Elephas maximus indicus: one gene and its partners. The protein of the gene in region 1 binds, or shares a complex with, the protein of each later gene. Links are inferred from orthologs where the notes say so. Each region holds a gene or a part of one and is shown in the gene's direction. Other genes may lie near its edges. The genes, in order: GNAI1, XCR1, C5AR1 and PTAFR.

Region 1 (7,436 bases):
GTAACTAAGTTGGGATAGGAGAGAAATTAGCACATGACATCTGTTGAGGGACAGAGAAAAATGTACAGTTTGTGGATGGAAGGTCTCTGCAGTCTTGAAGAATTGATGGTGATAAGAGAGGGGGCTGGAAAGATTAGAATGGAGGTCAGAGTACGGGGTAGTCATGTTCTTTCCATTGTTCCATAACAATCTCCTTTTCTCCACCTGCATAATACTTGAGAAGAGTCATGGCTAAAATGCAACTATGGCAAATTCCCCCCAAAAATCCTGCTCTCCGTCTACTATCCCGTGTATCTCTCACTCTCCGCAATTAAAACTACTGAGTCTCTTCATTCAGCTTCTGCATTCTCAGTGTTTACACACTCCTTCATTCTACATGGTAAAGCTTCTGTTCACAACAATAGATCAAAGTGCTTTGGTGCATTTGCCAACAATCTCTTCCTGTTGAAATTAAAGACTCACAGGAACTTAGAATTGTTGGGATCGTGCAGATGATCTAATTCAATGCCTACATTTTTCTAGATAGGGATAGTGTAATTAAGGGACATTTAAAGACATGTAATAGACACAGTTTAGAATTGCTCTAAATTCTCCAGTTTACCTACTTACAGCTTCTTTCACCATACCACTATTGCCAATGTTCTTTTTCTTCATACTTGTCCCTGTTGATCTTTTTCTAATGCATTTGAAATCATAAATAGCCATTTTTTTCTTAAACTTCTCCCTCCTTCACTTACGTGCTTATAATTCTTAGTGTCTCCTAGCTTCATCGACATATAAATTAGGCTCACATTTCTATTCATCTCCGATGATTTTAAGATGTATCTGCTTCAGTAGGAAATTAAGCCTTCTAGAAGTATTTTCCAGGTATTTCTACTAGTCCACCAAGGTGGCTTCATATTCACACGAGCACAAACAAGTCTGTTGTCTAAAGTCACTGCCTAATGTCCTTCTGTTTTCCTCTTTTCCAGTGTTCCCTTTTGTCATTGCCACTGGCAATGAAGTTACTTGAGGGAGACTGAGCACTGCCCATAGTGCAGTGCCCATCAGGAGGATGTGACTATCCATGCCCAAAGTACTGTCTTTAGATGGCTTTTAGTGCCTCGGTGCTCAGGTGCCTGAGTCGTGGTACGCTCCACGTAGAGACGATGACCTCCATATCATCTCTGAGCCAGATGTTGCACCCTGTGTATCTGAAGAGCCCTTCTTGTCTCACGAAGTATCTTAGTAGTAATTCTATGAGCTTTTGTTTTTTGACCTTTGCCCAGAATCTCACAGCATGGCTAATGCAAATAGTTTGGGTTTGGTATCTTTATATCTCTAACAGTGTAACAGCACAGATGCCCCTCTATCCTTCCAATTATCCCTAATCTTTCCCCAATCCAAACTCTTCCCTTCTCATTTAGAAAGCAAAAAACTCAAAGCAAACAATAGAGAAGTGTACACATAGCACAACTGCTCCTAATTTAACCAGCCAAAGATGTACTATACACTGCTCTTTTGATCGATGTATGTTTATAGGTCCAGATATAGATATCTATGTCAAAGTCCTAACTCTCTTATATGGTTCCAGTTTATCCCCACACTAATCCACTGACACACCAAGTCAGCATATCTCAAATCCACTCTTCTTACGTTCTTTGGCTTCATTTTGTCAGATGCTAGGACATGCAAGGAAAAGGTTGGAGGCTAGAAGGAGTTTCTGAGTTCTAATCTCAGTTGACACTAATCCCATTTGTCTTCTGAATAACATAGAATCTCAAGGTTGGAAGGGATCTTAAAAGTTATCTCATCTAGCTTTAGACTGTGCCCGGTAAGATATCATACAACCTAAATTTGTACATACTAGTCAAGGATGTTACAAATGTCTCCTTTCAGATGAATTGTACACTGTTCTTCCTTACATCAAGGTAAAATTTGTTTGCTGTAGCTTCTTTCTACTACTTCTAAATCTACCACTTTGGAGACAGAAAGAAAATGTTTATTCCCTCTGATTCATGACATCCCATCAGTTACTTGAAAACAGCTATCATGTCACTTTGTAGCTTCTCTTTCCTACATTACATATTTTCAACTTCTTCAATTATTCCTTATGACAGAGTTCAGAGTTACTTTAAAACCTAGATGTTCTCTGCTGAATGTGTTCCAGTTAGTCTCTTGGCATATGTCTCTGACTCTCTTAATATATGATGCTCAGTATTATTCAGTAATGAAAAGAAATATTGATATATGCTACAACATAGATAAATCCTGAAAACATCATAAGTAAAAGAAGCCAGTCACAAGTGATTACATATTGCATTATTCCATTTCTATGAAATTCCAGAATAGGCAAATCTAGAGACAGAAAGCATAATGGTGTTTGCCTAGGACTGGGGGAGAGGGGTGTAAAATGGGGGCCTGGGGAGTGACAACTAAGGAATGCAGCATTTCTTTTTGGGGTGACAAAGATGTTCTGACATTGATTGTGGCGATGCTTCAACAATTCTGTGAATATACTAAAAGTCACTGAATTGCGTACTTTAAGAGTAAATTATATGGTATGTGAATTATATCTCAATAAAGCTATTTAAAAAAGAAACGTGATGCTTAGAAAGGAAATCAGTACTCTGAAACAAAGTGTTTTCACCTCTAAATCTCAGCTTCACTCTCTCTAAAATGGATGAGTTAATAAACTCTTTACCTTGTTGATAAAGTTGTTGAATCATATTTTGCTACCTCATAATTATGTAAGTTATTAATTAGTTTGAGTGACTTTCATCACCTCATATCTGGATTACTAACACAGTCCACTTGTTGGTAACCCATTTTTTTACACATAGTGGCAAGAGTTTTTTTGAAGCACCTATTCCCCAACTCACTAAGAAGAATATAAGGAACACTTAGTACCCATTGTATCAAGTCCAATTCTTCACCTTTGTATTTAAAGCTCTTTTCCAACTTTGTTCTATACTTCCTACCATTCTTCACAGCCCAGCTAAATTTTAGTTATAAAACACTTGTTCTCTCCTATAGACACTTTGCATATTAACCCTTTTAGCTGGTTATTACTCTCAAACAAAATATACCCCTTGAAACTCCCCACCAATCCCAGTCATCATATCCTTCAAAAGTTCTTTCAAAACTTTCTTCTCTTGGAATTTGCCCTCAGACTGATCACTCTATTACCTGTATCCTCTCAGAAGTTTATATACAGCTAATTTGAAGTTCTTATTCTTTCATTATTATCCTTTAACTCCTAAACTACTTGACAAGATTATCAAATGAGAGAGGTAATGTTTATGATTCTGTTATACCTTCTTTTCTCCAAAACACTTTCTGTAGTCATTTCCACCAGTACTCCGCCATGATTGCTTCATCTTTTGCTGCAACTTTTTGTTAGTCATATGCTCTATCTGGTCCGAAGCTTGCAGGAAAAAAGAATCACAGTAACAGATAATCCAAAATGACTAATACACAAACACTATATCGAAAGTTAACTTCCTTAAGCTTAATTTCAGAGTTACTCATGAACATCAACATTTAGAGTGCCAAGAAATACAAAAAGGTAACTCAAGGCTAATTTTTACAGATGAATTTCAGAAAATAAGACTTCCAGATAGATATCAATTTCTAAGTTTTAGTACATCAATGAAGAAATTTGACTACCAGCCCCATCTTCTAATCAGTCAGCCTTTCCTGTGGTGTGTGTAAGACAAAGATGGAGTGCAACAATGGCAGTTGGGATCACCAGCCTGACAGGGAGAGATCAGGCAGTGAACTTAAGCAATTATATTAGGCACTAGATACTGGGTGAAATGTCTGTCCAGCCCCAAGAGCTCATCTTGCCCAAACCAGTTAGAGCTGGAAGAATGGGGCCATCAAGTACATCAACCCTTCACCATTTTATGAGTGAGGAAGCTAAGGTCTGTTAACAGGAGTGCCATGCCCAATGGCACAGGAGTTATTAACAGGGTCATAAATACTGGTTCAAAATTTGACAAGGAAGTTCACAAGCTGCTCCAGAGGAGGTCTGTTACGGTGTGGAGCAGATTTGTTTGTGTGGGTGTGTTTTATTGCTCTGGTCATTTTTTATACATGCTTTGATTCTTTGTCTCTCATCTTCTCAGATTATGAGGAAATCCTTCAAAATGTTGTTTGTGAAAAAGAAAAGTGATAATGGGTGGAAGAAAAAAGGACATTACAAAGGACGGGAAACTGAAGAAAAGGAGAAAGTTACTGACCCGTTTTCTCCCCGACTTTTCCTGCTCCCCACTGTCCCCATCTCTGGTTCCACCGCGGCTCCGTTCCCTTCCCAGCTGCCTGTTTCCCACGGCCCAGAACGCCACCCGACAGGGGTTCTACATTTTGAAAACCCTTGCGTGGGTGCGGAGCTGGGCATGCTCAAAAGCTCAGGACTGGCTTTGCTCGGCTCTCAACTTTGGCAGCTCTCCCACCGCCACACCGAAAGCGGCAGGTCCGCACAGATCCCTCGGTGTGAGTAAACGGGAAGAAATTATCGCACTCCCTCGGAGGGAGGCGGGTGGCAGAACGCGAGGACCCAGCCTCACCGGGCAGTTCCGCGCTCCTGTGGGCGCTTCCAGGGCGCGGGCTCGGGGGGTGGGGGGTGCCCGGATCTCGGGGACTGCTCGGCGCCGGGGAGCGGCCGGGCACGTCGGGAACGCGGGGGCGCGCCCCTCCGAGGGAGCTCTGTCCGAGGCAGGTGCGCGGGAGCGCGCTCTGGGAGTGGTCCCAGGCTGGCGGGAGGGGCGGGCAGGGGCGGGGCCGCGGCGGCGCGCGGACGCCGAGCTCCGCGGGGCTTGGAGAGGCTGCGGCGCGGCCAGCGGCGGGAGGGTGGCAGCTGCTGCATCTGGAGGCTCCAGATCCCGGGCTTCTGGGCGCTGAGGGGCGCCAGGAGCGGAGCCTGGCCTTGAGGAAAGGCTTTGAAGAGGCCGCCTGCTTCCTTGCAGACACCTTTTTCCTAGATTCCGTTGACGAAGTGGGTGGGGGTGGTGTGGCCCACGTCGGGAGGTATTTGAACTGCCGCATCCAGAAAGAAAGAATTTCCCCGTGTTTGGAGACAGCACATCGGACGTGGAGGGAGCGGCGGTAACCTCTCGCTCTTGGCACAATGGGCTGTACGCTGAGCGCCGAGGACAAGGCGGCGGTGGAGAGGAGTAAGATGATCGACCGGAACCTCCGCGAGGATGGCGAGAAGGCGGCGCGCGAGGTCAAGCTGCTGCTGCTCGGTAAGGGCGGCCAGGCCGGACGCCGGGGTGGGGAGGACGGCCTGGGGGTCCCAGGGGCCGAGGGGGAGCAGGCCGGTGGGCTGGGCGCGGCGCGCCGGGCTGGCTGCTGCCGGGGCTCGGCGTCTTCGAACCCGAAGGGAATGTGTCGAAGCGGCCGATGGCGCGTCTTGTAGCGCCCGAGGGTGGTTTCGGAGAGGGAGGCTGTCCAGGGCGGTGCAGCGCCCAGGGGTGCCCTCCTGTCCCCCGGTCGTCTGCCTCCCATCGCCGTGGAGGGCGAGAACTCGGCCGCGGTGGGGCAGGAGCCTCACTTCATCCGAAGCTTTCGTGTGGCCCCTGCAGGTAGCCAGGGAGCGATTTTAAAGCGGCAGATGGCGCGGAAACCCTTTTCTTTGAAGTTAGCTCAGCCTTGTAAAGATGAGCATTCATGGCAAGAAAATAAGAGTCTCCCTCCCCCGGAGACCTTTCATACCCGGTGTTGTGTCGCGGTTGTGGTTTCACTAGTCCAGAGTGGCACTTTGCGTGAAATCAGTGAACCTTTTGTGGGGCCTTTGGGGTTGAAATGTGTCTTTCCTGTCAACTTCCGATGGCGATTCAGTAAGTGTTACAGGAACACTGATTGTATTTACCTTGCGGAAGGAAATAGGCTGCTCTACGTGCTTTATTTTTCCTACTCCGGGGGCATGGAAACCACCAAAGTTGGGTTACGTTCGCTCCAGTCGTGGATCAGACGGATAAATGAGTGAGGAAAACTGATGTGAAAGGTGCGAAAGGGTCACGCCGACAACAGGATTCTCTCTCCGGCCGCCACGGTTTCTGATAAATGAGGTTTGCCAGGTACAAGCCAGGATTTTGTTTAGTCTTAGTCCTCATAATGAAACGTTACGTGGAGGACTTTTTCCATTGCTAATGGGGGAGAAAATAAAAAAAGAGTAAACCAGGGTTTTGACTCAGGGATATGTTAGGAAGATATTCACAGTTTAAGATGTTTAGTTTTATGAGTTAGGGTTTTCTTTTGTTTCCTTGACTCCCTTGCCCCCACCCCCACCCCACTCTAAGTAGAGACAGGTTTCTCAGAATCTTCATTTGCACTTCCAGCGATTGCTTATATATATATAGACATACATACAGTTATAATAAAAGAGAAATATTGCAGAAACCTGTTTTCAGCAAGCGTCTGTGTCACTGGTTTAATGACTGCAGAAAAAAATGGTGGGTTTTTTTCCCCCATCACTAGCAAGCTTAGAAGCAGCGAACCTGGCATGACTAAAAGTAACTATGATCTGAGTCATTCTGAAAGTAAACTGAAATAACTTTGCATTTCAAAGACCTGAATGTCTTTACCTCCTCCCCACAACATAAACCTTCCTCAATTTATACTGTTTACCTGAGGTTTTGCATTAATACCAAAAAACCAAACCCCGTGCCGTCGAGTCGATTCTGACTCATAGCGACTCTATAGGACAGGGTGGAACTGCACCATAGTTTCCAAGCAGCATCTGGCAGATTCGAACTGCCGACCCTTTGGTTAGCAGCCGTACCACTTAACCACTACGCCACCAGGGTTTCCTTACATTGATAAGAAATACTATATTTTTGACCAGGTCAGTATATTTGCAGTGTACTGAGCACAGAAGAGACACAATTTGCTAAAGAAACACTTCGACTTTTGTGAATTGCATGAGCTTGAGAGTAAAAATAAGACAGGATTAAAAAGTTCCTTTGTTTAGTTTTTGCCCTCCTGCTCTGGTATTATTTTTGTATATTTCATCGTATCTTAGCTTGAGCCAGCCATCCACCATGTTTAAGACAATTGCAAAATGATTCCTCTGGTGGTGGTGGTTTATGCTTTAATGAGATGTCTGTTAGAAAGGGATAGAGTTTATTTTTACTTATATTCAGAATAGACTAGTGTTTCTCAACCTTAGCACTATTGATACTTTGGGCCAGATAATTCTGTGTTGTGAGGGCTCTTCTTACATCATGCAATATTTAGCAGCATCTTTGGCCTCTTATGATTTGGATGCCAGAAGTCTCCCCCTCAGGTTGTGACAACCAAAACTATATCCAGACATTGCCAAACGTTTCCTGGAGGCAAAATCAACCCTGGTTGAGAACATCTGGTCTGCATTAACAAATATAGTTGAGTGTGTGATGTAGAACCAAAAGTTTCATCTCTGCAGCATTCTATAGTTAGAGTCATGGGGAATA
Region 2 (6,997 bases), on another chromosome or scaffold:
GACTGATGGACCACATGGACATCTTGAGTCTGCTAAAATTAGTGTCAGTTCAGAGCCAATGTCTAGAATTCCTCAAAAAGTCTAAGTATTTTCCTTTCCCCAATACACAGTGACCCAGGTAAACGGTTCTAGATCCCTTTGGGGAAGGCTTGGAGAAAGATTAACAGTATAAAATTAACCAGTATAAAATTTTGGCAGTGGACCAGGGTTCTTCCTCAAGGGGATCTTGCCTCTCCTTCATTCAAGGGGTTCTGGGTCTGTAAACTGTTTTAAGTCTAGGAGGGGCCACGACTCTCTGTTTTGATGAAAGTTAGTCTTCTGTTCACTCAACCTAAAATTCTTCTGATTCTACACACCAAGTAAGAATTTAATAGACTGTTTCTTTTCTAGGGACACATGATCATCTAGCCAGTGCCACAGGTCTCCGCAAGTCAAACTATTCTGGTTACTTCTTTGACCTTACTGTTCATTACGGTAACCACATCCACCTTGTCTTTGGTGATTAAGTGCCACCACTTGGCTCCTGACACCCTTGGATCTAATTATGTATTCCTATTGCATTTACAGATGTCACCTCAGTGGCAGCGGTTTTCATTGTAATCTCTGACCTACAGAAAAGAGCAACTACAGAGATCCTCAAGGATGTTGGGCTTCCCCTTATAAATTTATTTCTCATAGTAGTGGTGAAAGGTATGGACCTTCCTTGGGAGAATGAGCAGATCTTGCATGAAAAATCCACTCAATTATTTCTCTCTCCCTAAGATTTTGGACAGTTCCCTCTGCAGTATACCAAGGCTGTTCTGACATTTCAACTTTATTTAGTGTAGCCTGCCTTTTGGTCCATGTTTCAGCCAACTGAACAAAGAACAATTAGAGTCCTTTCTAACTCCTCAAGCTAAAAAGCTGAATCCAGAATCTGTACTTAGAAAGCCTATAGCAATAAATTTGGCCCGATCTAACTTTACTTACCTTCTACGCTTATCCTATACCCTTAGTGTCTATTCCCACATATATTACCTAGATTTCTGTCTATACAAATTGGAAAAATAATGTTTTTTTTATGTGTGGTGAACCTCCTTATGAGTCATACTTTGTACTTCATCCTTTGGGAACTGGTGGGACTTGAGTCCTTTCAGGTCTAGAAGCAAAGAAGGATGGTGGAGGTAGGTCCTGAAGAGAATCAGCAGCACCTTGCAAGGCAAATACCTCAGGGGAGGCCATTAAAGATTCTTTAGGTTAAGCAGGGTCAGTTTCCTCAGACAGGAGTGAAGGGCTGCTTATACTGGCAAAGAAGACTCAGCAAAATTTAGAGGTTTCTTGTCCCCAGCTTCACTAAGATCTTCCCCTATTTCCTCATTCCAATTTTTAGAATCCAATTCCTTCCCGATCAATGGCCTCAATTTAACAGAAGACACCCTGTGAGGTTGGGGATTCAGTTTGCATTGTAATTCAGCCCCTCACAGAATGAGAGTCTTTGAGTTTGAATTTCAGAAATCTCAGCCCTGCAGCTAAAGGAAATAAAGGTTTCTTTCACAACAGACATGGACGCTTTCAGGTCATTTATGTGGCACTTGAACTGAGAGTTGGAAGCCCTAAGCTCAGCCTCTATTTCCTCACTTTGTCTAGGACAGTTAGGAGCAACCAGTCAAACCATTATTTCCTTAGTTTGACTAAAATGTTCTAAATTACCAAATACATGGTGGCCTAGAAACTTGCCTTTTGTAAGTATTTGATTAGAAGTATCCAATGACAATATTTTGTGTATCTCTATAGCCACATTATGCCATGAACTACCAGGGCCCTCTTTACCACAGGAAATAGTCATTAGTTCCTTTAAATCTAATAAATTTAGAGAACTAACTTCTGCAATCCCTCCAGAAACACAGTATTGGTTTTGGTTTGCTATTTTCCAGAAAACCCACAGCCAATTCAGAAAATTCATCAAGATTATGTTCCTACAGAGAAACATTTATTGCAAGGAATTGGCTATGTGATTATAGGGGCTAAGGAGACAAGTCCAAAATCTGCAGGCTATCAGGAAGGGCAAACTGGAAACTCTCAGGCAAGAGTTGATGCTGCAGTCAGGCAGAATTTCTTCTTCCTCATGGAGTTCTGCTCTTGAGGCCTTTAATTGATTGGGTCAGGCCCACCTGGATTATCAAAGATAATCTCCTTTATATGAAGTCAACTGATTGTAGATGTTAATTACATCTACAACACCCATTTTAGTGACTGATTGAATAACTGGATGCTAAAAAACCAAACCAAACCAGTTGCCATCAAGTTGATTCAGACTCATGGCAACCTCACGTGTTTCAAGTAGAACTGCACTCCATAGGGTTTTCAATGGCTGTGATCTTTCAGAAGTAGATTTCCAGGCCTTTCTTCTGTGATGCCTCTGGGTAGATTTGAACTGCCAAGCGCTTAGCCATTTGTACTACCCAGGGTCTCCTAACTGGATACTATTGCTGTTGTTATTAGCTGCTGTTCAGTCAGCCCCAGATTCATGGCAATCCCACATACAACAGGAAGGGACCATTGTGATCCATAGCGTTTCCATTGGCTGATTTTCAGAAATAGAGCACCAGGTCTTTCTTACTAATCTTCTTAGTGTGGAAGCTGCACTGAAATCTGGTTATCATTGCAGCAGTACGTTGGCAGGGAACTGCCAGAAACTCAAGCCGGATTCAGAAGAGGATGTGGGATGAGGAATACCATTGCTGATGTCAGATGGATCTTGGCTGAAAGCAGAAAATAACAGAAAGATGTTTACCTGTGTTTTATTGACTATGAAAGGCTTTCAACTATGTGGATCATAACAAATTATGGGTAACATTGTGAAGAATGGGAATCCCAGAACATTTAATTGTGCTCACGAGGAACCTGTACAGAGACCAAGAGGCAGTCATTCGAACAGAACACGGGAATACTGCTGGCAAGAATGTAAAATGGTGCAACCACTATGGACAACAGCTTGGCAATTCTTCAAAAATGTAAGCATCTAGTTACCACACAATGAAGTGATTCCACTCCTACATACATATCCAAGACAAACGAAAACATGTTAACATAAAAGCTTGTACATGAATGTTCATAGCAGCATTATTCATAATAGCCAAAAAGTAGAAACAACCCAAGTGCCCATCAACTGATGAATGGATAAACAAAATGTGGCACTATATGTCCATATAATGAAATATTATTCAGCCATAAAAAGGAATAAAGTGATGACACATGCCACAACATGAATGACCCTTCAAAACATTATGTTAAGCAAAAGAAGCCAGACATAAAAGCCCACATAGTGTATGATTCCATTTGTATGAAAATGGTTAGGTGTTTCTCTTTCTTTGAGCATGAGAAGAATAGGCAAAACCATAGAGACAGGAAGTAGATTAGTGGTTGCCGGGGAGTGGGGGAGGGCAAGCGGAATTTACTGCTAATAGGTATAAGGTTCTTCTTGAGGTGATGGAAATATTCTGGAATTGGATAGTGATGACGGCTGTGCAACACTATTAATATTCTAAAAACCACTGAATTGTATACCATGAAATTATTAAAACGGTGAAATTTACCTCAGTTTTTAAAAAATAATAATAGCCATGCATAACTAGTTCGTTAAGCAAATCAAACTTTTGGTAAAATCAAAATGCAACTTTTTGTTGTTGTTGTTGTATCCTGCCCTTTAGAATCTCTTCCAAATCCCAAATTACCTGCATTTATGCTTGGTGGGACGCAGGGGGCCCAAATGACCCTTGAGTTGTAGACCCTACACGCCTGTGGAGAGAGTCTGGGTGACCAGCTAATTTCTGTGTGAGCAGTGATGCAGCCAGATTCTAACATGAGATGTTGGGTGGGAGTAGAGAGGTTGGGGGTGGATCAAGCCAGCAAGCCACTGGGTGATGGGAAGAGGAGGAAGTAGTGAAGACTTTCCCAGATTTGGGGGAGGAGAAAGAGAAGCACCATTTCTGCTTCAAGACGCATGTGAAGAGGTGTAGATTCAGGTGAGTTCCTTTGCTTACATTTTCCTCTGCTTTTAAAAGCCTCTACCAGGAGTTTGTTTACCAGGAGTTCTTAAACTTTGGTGGGCATCAGAACTACCTGGATAGCTAGGAAAATAAGATTTCTAGGCCCCACTTCCAAAGGTGCTGATTCAGTAGATCTGGGGTGGGGGTCCAAGAAGCTGCGTTTCTGACAAGCTCCAAGTGGTCTGATGCGGCTGGTCTGTGAACCACACTTCCGGTAGAAGTAACCTATAGAATGTTCGTTTGTTTTTTCCTTTTTTACCACTGAAGAAGTGGAGGGATTACTTGGTTACAGACCTTTGTGTAGGCCTTGGTATTATTAACTATTGTATGATTTAGAAGAGTGTCTCTCAGTCCAAATTACATTGTGAGTCAGAAAGCTAAATTCACTCCCTGAGAGTTGAGGTGGGCCGTGGAGTTGGGGAAGAAGAGAATGACAGGAAAAAGGGAGCCAAATCCCTGGTATGTAACTCAGAGATGTCTGGAGTTGAGTGCCATCCTTCTTTGTATCCTCAGGGCCTTTCCAGGCCCAAAACTTGAATGTCTCTGAAATTTTGAGTAAATTATTGAGTAAGAAACAGAAAACTGGGTAAGTTTTTGTAGATGTCCCATATTCCTTTTATTTCTGGTTTTCTGAGAGTTTATATCATGAACAGGTATTGAACTTTACCATGCTTTTTTTGCATTTATTGAAAAGGTCACTGGTTTTCCTTTTATTCCATTAATACGGTGATTTAAATTTATGTTTGACTATTAAACCAACCTCACATTTCAGGAATAAACACACTTGGTTGTGATTTATTATTCTGTTTATATATATTGATGGATTTAATTTTAAAGATTTTGTGTCTGTGTTGGTAAGGATTATTGGTCTGTAGTTTTCTTTTATTTCAATGTTTTTGTCTGATTTTGGTAACAGGATTTTGCTGGCCTCATAAAACAAGTTGGAAGGCAATCTATTCTCTATTTCAGAAATAGTTTGTAGACTTGGTATTATTTTCTCATTAAATATTTGACAGAATTCACTAGAAAAGTCATCATCAGGCTCTGGAGTTTTCTTTGTGGAAAGGTTTGCTACAGTTAGTTTCTATGATAATTATAAGACTATTCAGATTTTTGTGTCATCTCATGTCAATTTTAGTAGGTTAAATTTTTAAAGAAATTTGTTCATTTCACTTAAGTTGTTGAATTTGTTAACATAAAATTGAACATACTATTTGTCATTCTTTTAATGTCCATAAGATCTGCAGTAATAACCCTTCTTTCATACATATTGGCAACTTGTACTTTTCTCTTTTTGTTTTCAATCTGTCAATCCAACTAGCTAGCTAGGGCTTTAGCTTTTTCTTTCTTTTTTTTAATTTCCAAGGGACCAATTTTATTGTTGTTCATATTCTATCTTGTTCATTCCCTATTTTGTTAATTTCTGCTTTTATCTTTATTATTTCCTTCCTTCTACTTACCTTGAGTTTAATTTGCTTTTGCTTTTCTAGCTTTTTCTGGGTCGTTGATTTTAGAAATTTCTTCATTCTAATGTAAACATTTAAAGCTACAGACTTCTCTCTATGCACTGCTTTAGTTAAAAAAAAAAAAAATTTTTTAACTGCTTTAGTTACAGTCCACTAATTCTGATACGTTGTATTTTCATTATTGCTCAGTTCAATACGTTTTATCATTTCCCCTGTGATTTCTTCTTTGACTCATAAAGCCTTTCAGAGTATGTTGTTTTATGTCCGAATTACTAGGAATTTTTTAGATATCTTAATTGTTATTGATTTCTAATTCCATTTTGGTCAGAGAACATAGTCTATGTAATTTTGATCTTCTTAAATTTATTAAGACTTCTTTTATAATCCAGAATATGGTCTATCCCTTGTGGATATTCCATTTGTATTTGAAAAGGACACATACTCTGCAGTTTTCAGGAGTGATGTCGGTTACATGAAGTTGGTCCATGGTTTTGTCCAGATCTTCTATGACTTTATGGGTTTTTTTTTTGTCCAGTTGTTTTATCAACTACTCAGAAAGGGTGTTAAAATCTCTAGCTATGATTCTGGATGTGTCCATTTCTCCCTTTAATTTTGCTAGTTGTTGCTTCATGTATTTTGAATCTCTGTTACTAGGTACATATAGATTTATGGTTGTTATGTCTCCTTGATGAATTGACTCCTATAATGACCCTCTTTAATTCGAGTTCTCAGGTAATATGTTTTCCATCCATTTACTTTCAAACTATCTGTGTCTTTATGTTTAAAATATGTCTCCTGTAGACAGCATATAGTTGGGTCTTACTTTCTTTTACCATTCTGACAATCTTTGTCTTTCAGTATCATTTAATGTAATTATTGACATGATTGGATTCAGATCTACTGTTTTACTACCCGCTATGTTTGTCTTCTTTTGATTTTTGTACCTGTTTCTCCTTTCCTGCCTTCTTTTCAACTATTTGAATTGAATTCCATTTTAATTATCCATTGACTTTTTAGCTATACTTTTTTGCATTATTTTTCAGTCACTGATCCAGATTATAATAAAATCTTAACCTTTTTATAGTTAACTTGGAGTAAATATTGTATTGCTTCACATAAAATGTAGAAATTGTACAACCATATTAGTCTATTTAACCACCCCCAATCCTTTACGTTATAGTTGTCACGTGTATTATATTTATGTGTTATAAATCCCATAATACAATTTTATAATTTTTGCTTTAAAATATCTAGATATTTTAAAGAAATTTAAAATAACAATATTTTCTATTTATTTCCTTTTTTACATTTCCAGTGCTCTTTTGTCCTTCCTAAAGATTTGAGTTTCCATCTGGTATTATTTCTCTTCAGTTGAACTTCTATGAGCCCTTCTTACAGTGCACCTCTAAAAAAACCAAAAACTAAACCTGTTGCCATCAAGTTGATTCCGACTCATAGTGACTCTATAGGACAGAGTAGAACTTCCCCATACGGTTTCCAAGG
Region 3 (7,493 bases), on another chromosome or scaffold:
TTCAGGAAAAAAATGTATAGATAGATAATAGATATTTGTAGTTGTTAGCTGCAGTCAAGTCAGCAACTCGTGGGGATCGTATGCACAACAGGACCATTGTGATCCATAGGGTTTTCATTGGCTGATTTTTGGAAGTAGATTGTCAGATCTTTCTTCCTAGTCTTAGTCTGGAAGCTCCGCTGAAACCTGTTAAGCATCATAGCAACATGCCATCCTCCAGAAAGGCCTGGCAATCTGTTTCAGTTAGGATTGCAGCCAAGAAAACCCTATGAAGCAGTTCTACTCTGACACACAAGGGGTCGCTATGAGTCGGAATCTACTGGATGGCAACAAACCAAAAAACCCACTGCTGTGGAGTCGATTCTGACTCATAGCGACCCTACAGGGTAGAACTGCCCACAGGGTTTCTAAGGAGTGGCTGGTGGATTCGAACTGCCAACCTTTTGGTTAATAACCATAGCTCTTAACCACTAGGCCACCAGGGTTTCCTTTGCCACCATAGATACGGATATACAGATAGGTACCCCACATACATAAATAGCGCAAACATGCTAAAGCACATAGAACAATTACTAACCAAGAGTCAGTCTGGGTGGAGGGCATACAGAAATTGCCTTTGCTATTCTCGTAACTTCTTTTTAAGTTTGAAATTACATTAAAAGAAAAAAATTATCCAAAAAAAAGCATTCTGAGAAGAGGTCCAGAGCTTCACCAGGGGCCCAGAGCATAGAAAATCTTAACTCATGATTTAAGGGGATATATAACTTGGATCCAAAATCATAAAAGTAAAGTGGGTGTCACCTGGCCTCCTGCGTCTCCTCCCCACTTCCCCCTCAAGCGCCTCCTTGAGGTCAGGTTCAACACAACACCATATTCCTAGGGTGCACCCTCAATCTCTGTAAATCCACTTCAAAATCCTTTCTGAGTCAGCAGATTGTACATTAGGTGCCCTGGTAGTGCAATGGTTAAGCACTCAGCTGCAAAGCAAAAGGTTGGTGGTTCGAACCCACCAGCTGCTCTTTGGAAGAAAAGCCCAGGCAATCTGCCCCAATAAAGATTATGGTCTAGGAAAACCTATGGGGCAATTGTACTCTGTCCTATAGGGTTGCTATGAGTTGGAATCGACTCGATGGCACACAACAGCGGACTGTACACACGGCTTCGTTCAATGGAACCAAAACTTGCTGAATAGCATACACCCATGTGCCCATCCCCAAACACAAATACCACATTTGTAGAAGTCTGGGCGATACATTCCAAACTGCTAGGAAGAGTTTCAACAGGGTGGCAGATAGGGGACTTTCAAAGCTTAATTTTTTGGGGGGGAGTAGTTATTTCCGGATTGTTGGAATGTTTGCAATGAGCATGGATTACCTCTGTAATGAAAAGAAAACTATTTTTTTCTTTTTAAATTTTGGTGAAAATATACACAGCGGGACATATACCCATTTGGCAATTTCCACAGGTACAATTCAATAACGTTGGTTACATTCATCACATTGCGTCAACGTTCTCGACATCTCTACCCATGTTATCTCACCACCATTCTTTTCAATTTTTAAAAATCGAAGTCGCCCTAGAGAAATACTTGGTTGTTGTTGTTAGCTGCCCCTGATTCACGGCGACCCCGTGCGCAGTGGGACAAGATGCTGCCCCGCCCTGTGCCATACCCCTGATGGGTTGCAGATTGGACTGTTGTGATTCGTAGGGTTTCACTGGCTGACTTTTGGAAGTAGATCGCCAGGTCTTTCTTCCTAGTCTGTCTTAGTCTGGAAGCTCTTTCGAAACTGGTTCAACATCACAGCAACATGCAAGCCTCCACTGGCAGGCGTGTGTTGGCTCATGAGGCGCATTGGCTGGGAATTGAACCTAGGTCTCCCCCATTGAAGATGAGAATTCTACCACCGAACCACCACTGCCTGTCATAGAAAAATATTTACTGTGGAGGAAGGAGGTGGATGATAGATCATAGGATTGCAAAACAGCGTGTGTAAAATGCACCTGGTTTGCAATCTTCAGTCAGCATCGTCATTCATTGTGATTGGCTGAATAATGGCCTCCGTGACGTCCAGTCCGAGTCCCCAGAACCTACAAATATATTACCTCACGTGGCAAATGGGTCTTTGCGGATGTGATGGAGTAAAGGATCTTGGGATGGTGAGATGACCCTGGATTATCTAGGTGATCCCCAAATGCAATCACAAAAAACCAAAAACCCACTGCTGTGGAGTTGATTCCGACTCATAGCGACTGTATAGAATAGAATAGAACTGCCCCACAGGGTCTCTCAAGCTGTAAATCCTTATGGAAGCAGACCACCACATCTTTCTCCTGTGAAGCGGCTGGTGGGTTTGAACTGCAAGTCATTCTGTTAGCAGCTGAGCGCTTAACCACTGTGCTGGCTAATTCTGGCTGGGACCAAATTCAAGGTGTTGTGTTCCTCATGGAGGAGAGCTGCTAGAACTGCCTTCCTCGGCTCATGGCGCCTTCCTCCATCTTCAAAGCCAGTAGCCTAGAGTCTTGCTTCAGACCTCACATTGCGTTCTTCTTCGTGTCAAATCTGCCTCTGCTTCCCTCTTATAAGGATCCTTGTGATTGCGTAGGCGCCCTGGCGGTGCAGTGATTAAAGTGCTCTGCTGTTGACCGAAAGGTCAGCGGTTCAAACCCACCAGCTGCTTGGGGGGAGAAAGATATGTCATTCTGGTTGGAAACCCTATGGGGCAGCTCTACTCTGTCCTACAGGGTCGCTATGAACTGGAATCGATGTGACAGAAATGGGCTGGTTTTGGTTTTTTGTGAAGACAGAGGCAGAGATAGGAGTGATGGGGCCAGAAGTCAAGGAACGCCTGGAGCCACCCGAAAGTGGAAGAGGCAAGGAAGCGTTCTCCCTTAGGGGCTTTAGAGGAAGCAAAGCCCTCCTACGCAATCACAAGGCTCCTTATAAGAGGCAAATGTGACACAGAAGAAGAACGCAATGTGAGGACGGAAGCAAGATGCTAGGCTACTGGCTTTGAAGATGGAGGAAGGGGCCATGAGCCAAGGAAGGCAGTTCTAGAAGCCCTCCTCCAGGAGGAAACTCAACGCCTGGATTTTGGCTCCAGCCTTGGTGGTGCAGTGGTTAAGTGCTTGACTGCTAACCGAAAGACAGGCAGTTTGAACCCACCAGCTACTTTGCAGAAGAAAGATGTGGCAGTCTGCTTCTGTAAAGATTACAGGGCTGGAAACTCTATGGGGCAGTTCTACTCCATCCTGTAGGGACACTATGAGTCAGAATCGACTCGACAGCAGTGGGTTTGGTTTTGGTTTTACGTGAAGGCAGAGGCAGAGACACACAAATCAAGGAATGCCTGGTGCTACGTGAAGCTGGAGGAGGTAAAGGTGGATTCTCCCTGACAGCCTTCAGAGGGAGCACAGCCCTGCTGACACCTGGATTTTGGTCTTCTGGCTTTCAGAACCGTGAGAGAATAAATCTGCATTGTTTTAAGCCACCAGGTTTGTGGTATTTTGCTATGGCATCTGTAGGAAACTAATACAGGATCCTTATTCTATCCTGGCTCCAGCACATCTCCCAGAGAACCAGAAAGAGGCTGAAACAGACAAGACACAGGTCCCATTTCCAAGTCAGACAATTGTGGCTCAGGGGGTGGCTTCTCCTACCAACTTTAGAACCCTAACTAGTTGCTGCCGACGTACGTTGACCTCTGTGTGCAGAGTAGAACTGTGTGCGCCATAGGGTTTTTAAGGCTGTTACTTTTTGGGAGCATGTTGCCAGGCCTTTCTTACGAGGTGCCTTTAGGTAGGCTCAGATTGCCAACTTTTTGGTCAACAGCTGAGCGAATTAGCTGCTTGCACCACCTGGGGACTCCTTTCAAAACTCTGTTGTGTTGTTGGGTGCTGTCGAGTTGTTTCTGACACAGGGCCATTCCATGTGACAGAATAGGACTGGCCCATAGGGTTTCCTAGGCTGAAACCTTTATGGGAGCAGATTGCCAGGCCTTTCTCCTGTGGAGCCTTTTGGTTAGTAGCCAAGAGCTTAGCCATTGTGCAATTAGGGTTCCTTTTCAAAACCCTAGGAAAGAAGATTTAACAGCAAAATGTGCCCAAGCACTGGGCCACCTCCTCAGACCTGCTTGGCTTCTCTGCACTTCAGAGCAACCTGGCTGGGAGGCAGGGGCCACAAACCCTGCTTCCCGAGGCCCCCGTGGGAGTCTAAGGTAGCTGGGTCCCTGGGCTGTGGTGCAAAGGGAAGAGAGAGCTCTAAAATGGGGTAGCCAAGGCACAGAAAGGGGCTGAACCCAGATTGGGGTGGGGGCCAGGGGGCTCTTCCAGCTGGCTTTCTCCTCTCTCATACCAGGGACTTCCTCAGTATTCCACGCCCTGTCCTCCCTCCTCTGACTGGGGGGAGATGTTCGGAGTCCCTGGGTGTGTGTGTGCCCCAGAAAGGGGGCCCAGCAGAGTGTCCAGTGCACAGACCAATCAGAACCCCAGAAAGGAAAGATGGTCATTTCCTCCCCGGCTCTCCGCACCCTCCCTTGGGGGTTTAAAAACCACAGCCCTTGTGGGCAAGAGGAACCTTCCCTCAGCGAAGAGCCCAGAAGACCAGAACATGGTAAGTTCAGAAGGAGCTTGGACATAGGAACTCTCTACCTTTGTTCCCTCATTTCTCGGCTCCTTTTTTCTCTCCAGCATTTTCATTCTCGTGTTTCTCCTTTTCTTTCCTCCCTATCCCCCTCCTCAATCACTCCTCTTCTCCCTTCTTCCTCATCTCAGAGTCTCGGACTCCAGGGCTGGGATGAAGTTTAAGGATTAAGGCTGTCAAGGGACAATGGGAGCCACAGCAACCCCACAGGGCTGGAGGTCCAAGAACATTTCCCAGGGAAGCAAACCCTTGAGTTGGGTCTTGTAAAAATGACTAAGAATTCCACAAGAGAAGAATTTCAGAAAGGAGTTCCAGGCAGCTGGAACAGAAGGGGCGAATGTTGGGAGGCTGGAGACAGCCAGCTTGGAGGCATGAAGATGTTACTCCCGTGGAATTTCATATATTCTCAATAGTGGAGATGGGGAAACTGAAGCCCAGGCCAGGGCAGAAATGGCCTGGGTCCTTCACAGTGGTTGGTGGCAGAACTGATACGTTCCTTGGATCCTGTGAGTCTCAGAGGGATGCTGTCCCCCGGTGCAGCGAGGGCCCCCCTTACACATCTGCATCCTGAGGTCTGGGGACCAAGCTGGGCAGGGCTGTGGGTTAGCACTTGGAGTCTCTCTCAGGTATTGCTTCATCTGGCCAAAAGGGGAAACGGAAAACAAGTTGGATGGACATGGGAGGGGTTTGATGTTGCTTCACTCTCCTCATCCCACCTTTAACATCCAACTTGGGCAAACAGGACTTTCAGAATAGGGCAACTTACTAGCTGCTGCTGCTTCTTCTTTTCGTCCTTTCTGTAAAATATTCCAAAACACCGAAGGGGATTCAGTGAAAATTCACTCTCCCTGACCACCCCTGAGCCTCAGACCCCTTGTCGTTTCCTTCAGATGTAAACACAGTGTCTTAGTTATCTAGTGCTGCTATAATAGAAATACCACAACTAGATGGCTTTAACAAAGAGAAATTTCTTCTATCACAGTCTGGGAGGCTAGAAGTCTGAACTCAGGGCTTCAGCTCCAGAGGAAGGCTTTCTCTGTCGGGCTCTGGGGAAAGGTCCTTGTCATCGATCTTCCTAGTCTAGGAGCCTCTCAGCACAGGGATATAGGTCCAAAGGATGTGCTCCCCTTCTGGTTCTTCATTCTTGGTGGTAGGAGGTCCCCCTCCTCTCTGTTATATTCTCTTTTATATCTCAAAAGAGATTCACACAACATACAACCTAATCCTGTTGATTGAGTCTTGCCTTATTAACATAACTGCCTCTAATCCTGCCTCATTAACATCATAGAGGTAGGATTTACAACACACAGGAAAATCACAACAGATCACAAGATGGCGCATAACCACACAATACTGGGAATCATGGCCTAGCGAATATGGCACACATTTTGGGGGGACAAAATTCAATCCATAACACATGGGTACCAGTTGGTGGTTGATCCTATCAATGGAGAATTAGGTTGTTTCTAATATATGAGCTTTAAAACTAAAACGGCAATGAGTATTCCTGTACTTATATCTTTGGACTTACCTTTGAGCTTCCAGAATTGCAAACACTGAATCCAGGACATGTGCAATTTTTATTTTAACAGATTACCAACATTGTATCAATTTATATTTCCCACCTATAGTGCCTGAGAGTGCCTGTTTCCCTATGCCCTCACCCACAGTTTTATCGCATTTTTTTTTACTTTTGCCAACCTGAGAGGCAGTTCATTCATTGCATCCTCAAAATACCTGGAAGCTTGTCTTTTTCACCGCATATTTTAAATGTGTTTACGTTTTTTACTGCTTCCAGTTCAGACCAGTTACTGTCAAGTTAATTCTTATTCATGGCAACCCCATGTGTGTCAGAGTAGATCCATGCTCCATAGGGTTTTCAATGGCTGATTTTTCAGAAGCAGGTCACCAGGTCTTTCTTCTGAGGTGGACACGAACCGCCAACCTTTCATCTAGCAGCCAATTTGCACCACCCAGGGGCTCCTTTTTTTGTTTTTGTTTTTTTCATGGTAATAGCTTTCTTGAAGAAGTCAGAGATGCTTTCTGAACATTTCAATAAGCCTGTCATCCTGCCTCAGTTTTTTTCTTAGTCTTTATTTCTTCTTAAATTTTATTGTGCTTTAGGTGAAAGTTTACAGTGCAAATTAGTTTCTCATTCAAAAGTTTATAAGCAAATTGTTTTATGACACTGGTTGCAATGTGTCAGCACTTTCCCCCTTTCCCTTTACACCCCAGTTTCCCCGTGTCCATTCAACCAGTTTTCCTGCCCCTTCCTACCTTCTCGTCTTTGCTTTTGGGCAGGTGTTACCTAGTTGGTCTTATGTATACTTGATTGAACTAAGAAGCACATTCCTCACATGTGTTATTGTTTGTTTCATCCCCCCCACCCCAAAACCAAACCTGTTGCCATCAAGTTGATTCTGACTCATAGTGACCCTGTACAAAAAAGTAGAACTGCCCCACTGGGTTTCCAAGGAGCAGCTGGTGGATTTGAACCGCAGACCTTTTGGTTAGCAGCAAAGCTCTTAACCACTGTGCCACCAGGGCTCCCTCCTGTTTTTTTCATAGGGCTGTCTAATCTTTGGCTGAAAGGTGGATTCTGGGAGTGGCTTCAGTTCTGAGTTAGCGAGGTGTTCGGGGGTCATAGTCTCAGGGGTTCCTCCAGTCTCTGTCAGACCAGTAAGTCTGCTGTTTTTTTTGTGAATTTGAATTTTTTCCTACATTTTTCTCCCGCTCTGTCTGGGACCCTCTATTATGATCCCTGTCAGAGCGGTCGATGGTGGTAGCCAGGTACCATCTAGTTGTCCTGGGCTGAAGCTGGGAGGCTGTGGTTCATGTAGTCTATTAGTTCTTT
Region 4 (7,964 bases), on another chromosome or scaffold:
AGTTTACAGCTGAAGTTAATTTCTCATACAAAAATTTATACACATATAGCTTTGTGATATTAGTTGCAGTCCCCACAATGTGACAGCACACTGTCCCTTTCCATCCCAGGTTCCCTGTGTCCATTTGACCATCTGGTTCTTCTGGCCTCAGGGTAGATGAGGCCATGGCTCATGTAGGCTATCAGCCCTATGGACTAGTTTCTTCTCTGAGACTTTGGTTTCCTTCTTTCTCTTTTGCTCCCAACAAGTAGAGACCAACAGTTGTATCTTAGATGGCTGCTTGTAAGCTTTTAAGACTTCTGATAATACTTACTCACTAGGATGTTGAACACAAACTTTGTGATGCCAGTTGAATGAGCTGTCCCAAGAGAACTTTTTTTTTAACAGTAACTTCTTAATGTCTAAAATTGTCATGAAACCTTTTTGAAAAACTGGGTAAGTAATACATGGACACATTCTCACTAAAAATGACTCAATACCTAAAAATATGGAACAAAATATTAAAGTCTCATTTCCTCTCCTTATCCTTTCCAGACAGGACAAGTATCTTGGTATACAGCCTTCCGGTCTTTTTCATATGATTTTCATAAAAGAAACATATATGTATAGTTACAAGCAATAATTTCCTGCCCCATAACTTCTCATTCCCAGTTCAGTTCCCCAGAGATCATCTCTTCTAACTCTTTTAGCTGTTCCGTTGTTTATGGTTATTTCTTTACTTAATGAACCAACTGCTGTCACATTGACTTTGACTCAAGGAAACTCCATGTGTATCAGAGTAGAACTGTGCTCCATAGGGTTTTCAATAGCTGATTTTAAAGAAGTAGATGGCCAGGACTTTCTTCCAAGGCACCCCTGGGTAAACTTGAACCTCCAACCTTTTGGTTAGCAGCTGAGCACATAAATCATTTGTACTACCTCCTTTCTTTACCTAACAAATTTTCAATGATATTCTGCCCTCCATCTCTGCTTACTCCTATCTTCTCGATGCACTTACAACACTTTTAATAGTTCCTCTATATACCTTTGAAACCAGGAGCAATAAACTAATCACTATTTTATTTCTTGTTCCATCAACTATGAACTTTTGACTCCCTTCAACCTTCCATCATATATACCTTTACATTTCAAGACTGAAACATTTGCTGTTTGTTCTATAGGTATAATTAAGTCATCCATGATGGTTTAGGCCTAAAAACTGAAAATCAAAAGTATTTCCAATATTGTGACCAGGTGAAACTTGTTCAGGGTGATCTCCGGAATTACATTCCCCTTCTTATAATTTTGTTTCGTTTTCTTTTTTTCTTTTTAATAATTTTTATTATGCTTTAAGTGAAAGTTTACAAATCAGGTCAGTCTCTCACACAAAAACTTATATATACCCTGCTACATACTCCCAATTACTCTCCCCCTTTTTTTAATGAGGCAGCCCGCTCTCTTCCTCCACTCTCTCTTTTCGTGTCCATCTCCCCAGCTTCTAACCCCCTCTACCCTCTCATCTACCCTCCAGGCAGGAGATGCCGACATAGTCTCAAGCGTCCACCTGATCCAAGAAGCTCACACCTCACCAGCATCCCTCTCCAACCCATTGTCCAGTCCAATCCATGTCTGAAGAGTTGGCTTTGGGAATGGTTCCTGTCCTGGGCCAACAGAAGCTCTGGGGGCCGTGACCACCGGGGTCCTTCTAGTCTCAGTCAGACCATTAAGTCTGGTCTTTTTACAAGAATTTGGGGTCTGCATCCCACTGCTCTCCTGCTTCCCCAGGGGTTCTCTGTTGTGTTCCCTGTCAGGGCAGTCATCGGTTGTAGCCGGGCACCATCTAGTTCTTCTGATCTCAGGATGATGTAGTCTCTGGTTCATGTGGCCCTTTCTGTCTCTTGGGGTCGTAATTACCTTGTGTCCTTGGTGTTCTTCATTCTCCTTTGGTCCAGGTGGGTTGAGACCAATTGATGCATCTTAGATGGCTGCTTGCTAGCTTTTAAAACCCCAGACACCACTCTTCAAAGTGGGATGCAGAATGTTTTCTTAATAGATTTTATTATGCCAATTGACTTAGATGTCCCCTGAAACCATGGTCCCCAAGCCCCTGCCCCTGCTATACTGGCCTTCGAAGCATTCAGTTTATTCAGGAAACTGCTTTGCTTTTGGTTTAGTCCAGTTGTGCTGACCTCGCCTGTATTGTGTTGACCTCGCCTGTATTGTGTGTTGTCTTTCCGTCACCTAAAGTAGTTCTTATCTACTATCTAATTAGTGAATATCCCTCTCCCACCCTTCCTCCCTCCCACCTCTCGTAACCACAAAAGAATGTTTTCGTCTCAGTTTAAACTATTTCTCAAGTTCTAATACTGGTCTTATACAATATTTGTCCTTTTGCAACTAATTTCACTCAGCATAATGCCTTCCAGATTCCTCCATCTTATGAAATGTTTCACAGATTCATCACTGTTTTTTATTGATGCATAGTATTCCATTGTGTGAATATGCCATAATTTATTTATCCATTCATCTGTTGATGGGCACCTTGGTTGCTTTCATCTTTTTGCTAATGTAAACAGTGCTGCAATAAACATGGGTGTGCATATATCTGTTCATGTAAAGGCTGTTATTTCTCTAGGATATATTCTGAGGAGTGGGATTGCTGGGTTGTATGGTAGTTCTATTTCTAGCTTTTTAAGGAAGCACGAAATTGATTTCCAAAGTGGTTGTACCATTTGACATTCCCACCAGCAGTGTAGAAGTGTTCCAATCTCTCCACAGCCTCTCCAACATTTATTATTTTGTGTTTTTTGGATTAATGCCAGCCTTGTTGGAGTGAGATGAAATCTCATTTTAGTTTTGATCTGCATTTCTCTAGTTGCTAATGATCGTGAACATTTCTTTATGTATCTGTTAGCTACCTGAACATATTCTTCAGGTTTGGATATATTTTAAAGTAGAACTGACAGAATTTGCTAACAGAATGGATGTGAAGTATGAGAGAAAGAAGGAGTTGGGGAAACCTCAATTTCCCCGTTTGTAAAATGTTGGTAGTAATATCTGGCATCCTACCCTGCTTATTGATAATCTCAAAAGAGGTATTGCTGTGCAGTTGCTACAAGTACGCATGTAAGGGACTATGGAAAAACAGCCCTGTACCCAGGAATCCTGGACCTTTAGGTGGGTGTCCTGGGAGTGGCCATAGGAAGGCTGGTGGACCCCAGGAGCCCCTCCCAGGCTTGATGTCCTCCTGGAGTCTTGTAGCTAGAGGAGAGCTGAGGAGGTAAAGCAGGTTTGGGGAAAACGGGCCTGGGTTGGGGAGCTGGGGATTTGGCTTTCAGGGGGACAATTTACTTGAGGGTTAAAAGCAATGAACAGATGTTTTCTCTTGCGCTTCAGGGCACTCAAGGCTCCAAGGGCCTCTAAGGGAGATAAGGAAGGATGATCACACTGGGTCTGTTTCAAAGTTCCTAACAGGAGGCTTGGGCCACGTCAGGAGATTTGAGGAGAGTGCTTGTGTTGGTTAAATGAGCATGAGGGAGTAAGTGAGTCTGGGCAGTAAGCGTAAGAAGGGGAGTATGTGTGGGCACCTGAGTGGCTGAGCTGACGTGCGAGTGAAGAACATAATTGTGAGTGGATGTCTTAATGTGATAGTTTCTATGGAGTACCTGTGAGTGTGCAAGGGTTATGTGTACGTGGTTTGAGTGTGTCTGCCTCTATGTGGTGGGTGGGTTCAGGGGGGAGGGGAAGATTTTGGCTGTAGGTCTTAAGGGCCGAGGCCTATGTTAAAGGTGGTTTATCCTTTGAAAGCTATTTTTGGCTTTGATAAGGAGCAGCCATGGGGTCCCTTCAGCAGGAGGAGGCTAGCCCAAACCCTCAGGTGGAGCTGAGGATGGACCCATCACTCATGGCTGTGTAGCATCTGACTTTCTCTGGCACTCTGTTTGAACCTTAGTTTCCTTCTCTGTGTTGGAGAGGGTTAAATTGGCTAATATATGAGGGAGGGTCTTGCTTCCTCAGACAGTTCATGGTACCTGGAGGCGCTGGGGGTGCTCAGTAAATGCAGGCTGAAAGAATGAGTGAACAAATGGACTGGAGGCTGAGGCAGGGAGCTCTGTGCCATCCCTCACTTACATACACATGAAGCCCCCACCAAGCTCATACATACATGCTTACCTGTGTTCACCCTCAATTGCCCACACCTGTTCATCCTCATGCCCACTAATCCACATGCTGCCAAACTCTGGCTCAGTGTCTTATGAAGTTTCCCTCCTCCACTTCTGCAGAAACTCTGTCCCCATGGGTTCTTTGGGCTCTGTGCTTCCTGGTCACCAGGGATGCCCACACCATTCATGCCTCTCGCTGGTCACAGTAGCAACCCTGCACCCCTCCCTTCTAATCCTTTTTATATTCTAGTTCGCTCTCTCTTTTCACCTTTTCCCTGTCTTTTATTTTCTCTCTGACCGCCCCCCCCCCACACACACAGAGGCACAGACACACACACAGAGGCACAGACACACACACAGAGGCACAGACTCACTGTCTGGGTCCCATCTTTTTCCGTCTCATCTTTTTCTCTTTTAACTCTCTTGACCTTTGTCCTTGTAGCGTCTTCATTCCTGTCATGCTCTCGCTCCATGTTTACATTTGTCTGTCTTTCTCTGTGTTCCTTTCTCCCTCCATCTCTTCCTCCGCCCTCTCTCATTTTCCCCTAACTCCTCTCCCTCCTCCCTCCTCATTCTATTTTCTGGATCACTCATTTCTCCTCCCTCCTCTTCTTCACTCTCATGCTCAATTTCTCTCTCTCTCTGGAGTGCACTCTCACGCTTTCTCTCTCTGACCCAGCTCCCTAGCACTGTGGTTGTTGCCCACAGCGCACTGCCCCTGCTCTGTTAGAAGCTTCTAAGCAGTACCCAGGGCCCGGGTGGCCCAGCTTGGATGTTTCTGTGACATCCGTTGGGGGCCCTAGGGTCACGGCATTTCCTCCCGGGGGTGACTTGGCAGGGGTGTGCTCTGTTTTCTCACTTCTGCAATTTCCAGTCAGCACAGAGGGTGAGGCTGGGGCCGCGGCCCAGACGGAGACACTCAGACCCTGCAGTCAACTGTGGCCGCTGCCCTGGGTACAGGTAAGGGGGCCCCAGCCCTGGCTGGGTAAAGGGGGGAGGCTGCACTTAATCAAATGGGTGCTTCTGTTTTTAAGGGACTATTCTGGTACCTTCTTCAGGCCCAGAGCCTCATGTTTAAAAAGAATTTCTTCTGGCCAAACTTTCCAGGGGACTTAGCTCCCCTTTCTGGTTGTCTGAGGTCAGCCAAGACAGTGCTGAGGTGACCTCACTGGAGGTGCTGTGGTGATGAGAGGTGGCTTCCTAGCTCTCAGGGAGCTGAATGCCATCTACTTTATTGGATGTGTGACCCTGGCCAAGTTTCACCCCTCTCTGAGCCTCGGTTTCCTCAGTTGTCTAATGAGAATGATGTCTCCCTGGCAGGATTGTCAGGAGGATAGAGGGTCTAGCAGAGGTCTGGGTACTTGGGAGCTCACTAAATGCTAGGTTTTCCTGGGAGATGATGAAGATAATGAGGATATTGGTACAAAAGGCCAGGCCCACAACCATTGCCCCATCAGGTCCTAGGCGATAGGGACAGGGCCCAGGCTGTTACCTCCCTGTCCCTCGCTAGCTTTGGTGAGCAGGGTTCCTGCCCAGGCACTTGCTCGCCTGTGTGGAATGACGGCATCAGTAGGGGAGGGAGGGCATTCTGTAAGCATTTGGGCTGCTCTGATGTAGCTCTGACTGAATACACAGCTGTGCGCCAGGTGCTTGGCATGAATGTGTGTGTTTGGAGGTGGGGGAGGTGCTAGAGAAGCAAAAGGAAAAGCCTAGTCCTTCCCTTTAGGTACTAACAGCCCAGCCTGGGAAAGAAGTCAGCTCCGGGGCTGCAGAAATGGTCCTGGGCCCGAGGTGGGCACCCAGGGTTTTGATTTCAGTGTTTGCTGGCAAGCTGAGACTTTGGGCAATCCGAGACCCCCAGTTTCCTCCTTTGAAGATTGGTGTTTATAATACTGACCTTGTGGGTTTGTGGGGAGGATGAAGTTTGAGGCCAAGTGTGAAAGTGCTTTGTCAGTTGTAACATGCTGCATGATATGAGCCAATGCATTACTAGAATTCCTGACACTGTAATTGTTACTGTAAACACCTTTAGGATGAGGAATTTGCTTTGTTCGGTGTTCTATCCTTACCTTTAGCACAGAGTTTGATACATAGTAGATGCTTAGTAAATACGCATTGACTTAATGAATGATAAAGTCATTTGTTGTAGTCAGAAAGGAATGGATAGTGAGCCAGAGGTCCCTCTTCTGGTCTCAGCTCTGCCCGTGATACTGTTGTCACCTCAGGCCTCAGTTTCCACATCCGTCCAACTCAGGGTTTAGATATGATGTTCATAGTCTATGGCATTAATGACAAAATGCACACCCAGGACTGAGCTTTCTCTCCTGATCTGTATTGGAGTGAAAGTGGGAAGGGGAGAGGCGGTTGTTGTGAAAGACTGGGACACAGCCTGTTTGTCCTTTTTCTGGGGAGACTTGAAGGGCCTGTGAACAAGGCCCTGATGGGGACATGGGGGTTCACCTTTTTTCCAATGGCAGCCTCAGTTTCCCTATTTTGGTCCTCTGTCTTACCTAGAGCCCCCCACTGGGTGGAGGCCCAGGCCCAGGAGGGAATGACAGCCGAGCTATAGCCTGAGAGTGCTCTGTGACTGGGCCTGTGAGAGGGTGTTGGACTGGGGGAGCCAGTTCCCAGGAGGGAAAATGCTGAGCCCCGAGCCCTGCCACCTCTCTGACCAGCCACCATGGGGTTCCTTGGCAGCATGGTGGGAGGGGAGAGGAACCTTTTTTTGTGTGTGCATATATCTTGCATGTGTGTGTCTGTGTGTGTGGATTGGGGAATTGCCTTTTGCTATACCCACAAGTGTCTGGAGGGCAGGCCAGGAGTATGTGCCACTTGCAGGTGGGCCCTGGTACAGCCCAACAGTTCCCAGCAGCAGTGTCACTAACAAAACCAGCTGAGAGGCTGATATGCTGGTGGCTCCTCTGTTCCTTTCTTCCCTGGTGCCTTCAGCCAAGAGGAATCAAAAAGAAGCCTGTGCATAAATGTGTGTGCTCAGGCTCCAGTGTGTGTGTGTGTGTGTGTGTGTGTGTGTGTGAATGTCTGTGGTGGGGAAGAGGACTACCACTCAGCAGCCCTTTCCCACCCTCTTCAGCAGGAGGGGGCCGCTCAGGGTCTGGGTTTGGAGTTGAGCTCACCTAGCTGGGGGTGCAGATGGTGTATGATCCCAGTTATATGAAATATCTGAAACCGGCAAATGCATAGAGACAAAAGTGTATGAAGTGGTCACCAGGGGCTGGGGGGAGAAGGAGGGAATGGGAGTTATTGCTGAAGGGTACTGAGTTCTGTTTGAGGTGATGTAAAACCTTTGGAAATGATAGTAGTGCTGGTAGCACAACACAGTGAATATTAATTAACATCATTGCATTGTACACTTAAAAATGGTTAAAATGGCAAACTTTGTTTTTTTGTTTTTACCACAATTAAAAAAAAAAAGCAAAAAACTTTGTGCAGGACCCTTTACAGTTGATACAGGGCTTTTCAGTTTACCAAGTGCTTTACTGTTTACCAAAGCCTTTGTCAGCCCCAGGAATCTCATTTCCTTCTCACAACAATCAATGCTTTCAGGTGGGTGGGGCATCCTATTTTGCTGGTACAAATCCCAAGGCTCCCATCTGGGAAAAGACTCACTCAGGACTGCGGATGGGTGGGTGGGTGACACGGCTGAGGCCAGGGTCTAGGTCTCCTGAACCTAATTCCTCGGCTTTCTCTCCAGCCACCTCTGGATGCTTTTTCCAGAAGGGGAGATGTGACTGGGTTCCTGTATGACTGATTTGTTTACTTATTTGTTCATTCAATAAAACATTTTCTGGGCACAGGGGAGGG

Evidence for each region.
Region 2: the proteins of GNAI1 (region 1) and XCR1 are in contact, whole or in part, in a cryo-EM structure (PDB 9AST), measured with the Homo sapiens proteins. The link is inferred for Elephas maximus indicus from reciprocal best matches to the Homo sapiens genes GNAI1 and XCR1. Residues at the interface, in NP_002060.4 of Homo sapiens: Glu28, Ala31, Arg32, Leu194, Asp315, Phe336, Thr340, Asp341, Ile343, Ile344, Lys345, Asn347, Leu348, Lys349, Asp350, Cys351, Gly352, Leu353, Phe354; in NP_001019815.1 of Homo sapiens: Glu63, Thr66, Arg127, Ser130, Val131, Pro134, Leu135, Leu138, Val140, Arg146, Tyr205, Leu212, Ser215, Ser217, Lys218, Arg219, Arg222, Thr223, Leu226, Ile227, Val290, Gly291, Val292, Lys293, Phe294.
Region 3: the proteins of GNAI1 (region 1) and C5AR1 are in contact, whole or in part, in a cryo-EM structure (PDB 8HK5), measured with the Homo sapiens proteins. The link is inferred for Elephas maximus indicus from reciprocal best matches to the Homo sapiens genes GNAI1 and C5AR1. Residues at the interface, in NP_002060.4 of Homo sapiens: Arg24, Ala31, Arg32, Glu33, Val34, Lys192, Asp193, Leu194, His195, Lys314, Glu318, Tyr320, Phe336, Thr340, Asp341, Ile343, Ile344, Lys345, Asn347, Leu348, Lys349, Asp350, Cys351, Gly352, Leu353, Phe354; in NP_001727.2 of Homo sapiens: Asn71, Arg134, Leu137, Val138, Pro141, Ile142, Cys144, Gln145, Asn146, Phe147, Arg148, Ala150, Thr229, Arg232, Arg233, Ala234, Thr235, Arg236, Ser237, Lys239, Thr240, Val243, Val244, Ala303, Gln305.
Region 4: the proteins of GNAI1 (region 1) and PTAFR are in contact, whole or in part, in a cryo-EM structure (PDB 8XYD), measured with the Homo sapiens proteins. The link is inferred for Elephas maximus indicus from reciprocal best matches to the Homo sapiens genes GNAI1 and PTAFR. Residues at the interface, in NP_002060.4 of Homo sapiens: Arg32, Asp193, Leu194, Glu318, Ile319, Tyr320, Phe336, Thr340, Asp341, Ile343, Ile344, Lys345, Asn347, Leu348, Lys349, Asp350, Cys351, Gly352, Leu353, Phe354; in NP_000943.1 of Homo sapiens: Ile52, Arg115, Ala118, Val119, Pro122, Ile123, Thr125, Ala126, Gln127, Ala128, Arg222, Asn223, Val226, Arg229, Ala230, Met233, Val234, Thr297, Lys298, Arg301.

The regions. Positions count from the first base shown.
Region 1 is NC_064826.1:49,915,957-49,923,392, forward strand, and holds the start of GNAI1 (guanine nucleotide-binding protein G(i) subunit alpha-1), read left to right. Parts: upstream 1-4,384; 5' UTR 4,385-4,476; intron 4,477-4,636; exon of another isoform or gene 4,637-4,702; intron 4,703-4,793; exon of another isoform or gene 4,794-5,063; 5' UTR 5,064-5,110; coding exon 5,111-5,228; intron 5,229-7,436. UniProt on the Homo sapiens protein: Guanine nucleotide-binding proteins (G proteins) function as transducers downstream of G protein-coupled receptors (GPCRs) in numerous signaling cascades.
Region 2 is NC_064838.1:50,384,663-50,391,659, reverse strand, and holds the start of XCR1 (chemokine XC receptor 1), read left to right. Parts: upstream 1-3,987; 5' UTR 3,988-4,004; intron 4,005-4,490; exon of another isoform or gene 4,491-4,614; intron 4,615-6,997. UniProt on the Homo sapiens protein: Receptor for chemokines SCYC1 and SCYC2. Subsequently transduces a signal by increasing the intracellular calcium ions level. Receptor for XCL1/Lymphotactin.
Region 3 is NC_064829.1:101,635,182-101,642,674, reverse strand, and holds the start of C5AR1 (C5a anaphylatoxin chemotactic receptor 1), read left to right. Parts: upstream 1-4,388; 5' UTR 4,389-4,405; coding exon 4,406-4,609; intron 4,610-7,493.
Region 4 is NC_064821.1:68,600,399-68,608,362, reverse strand, and holds the start of PTAFR (platelet-activating factor receptor), read left to right. Parts: upstream 1-4,844; 5' UTR 4,845-5,102; intron 5,103-7,964. UniProt on the Homo sapiens protein: Receptor for platelet activating factor, a chemotactic phospholipid mediator that possesses potent inflammatory, smooth-muscle contractile and hypotensive activity.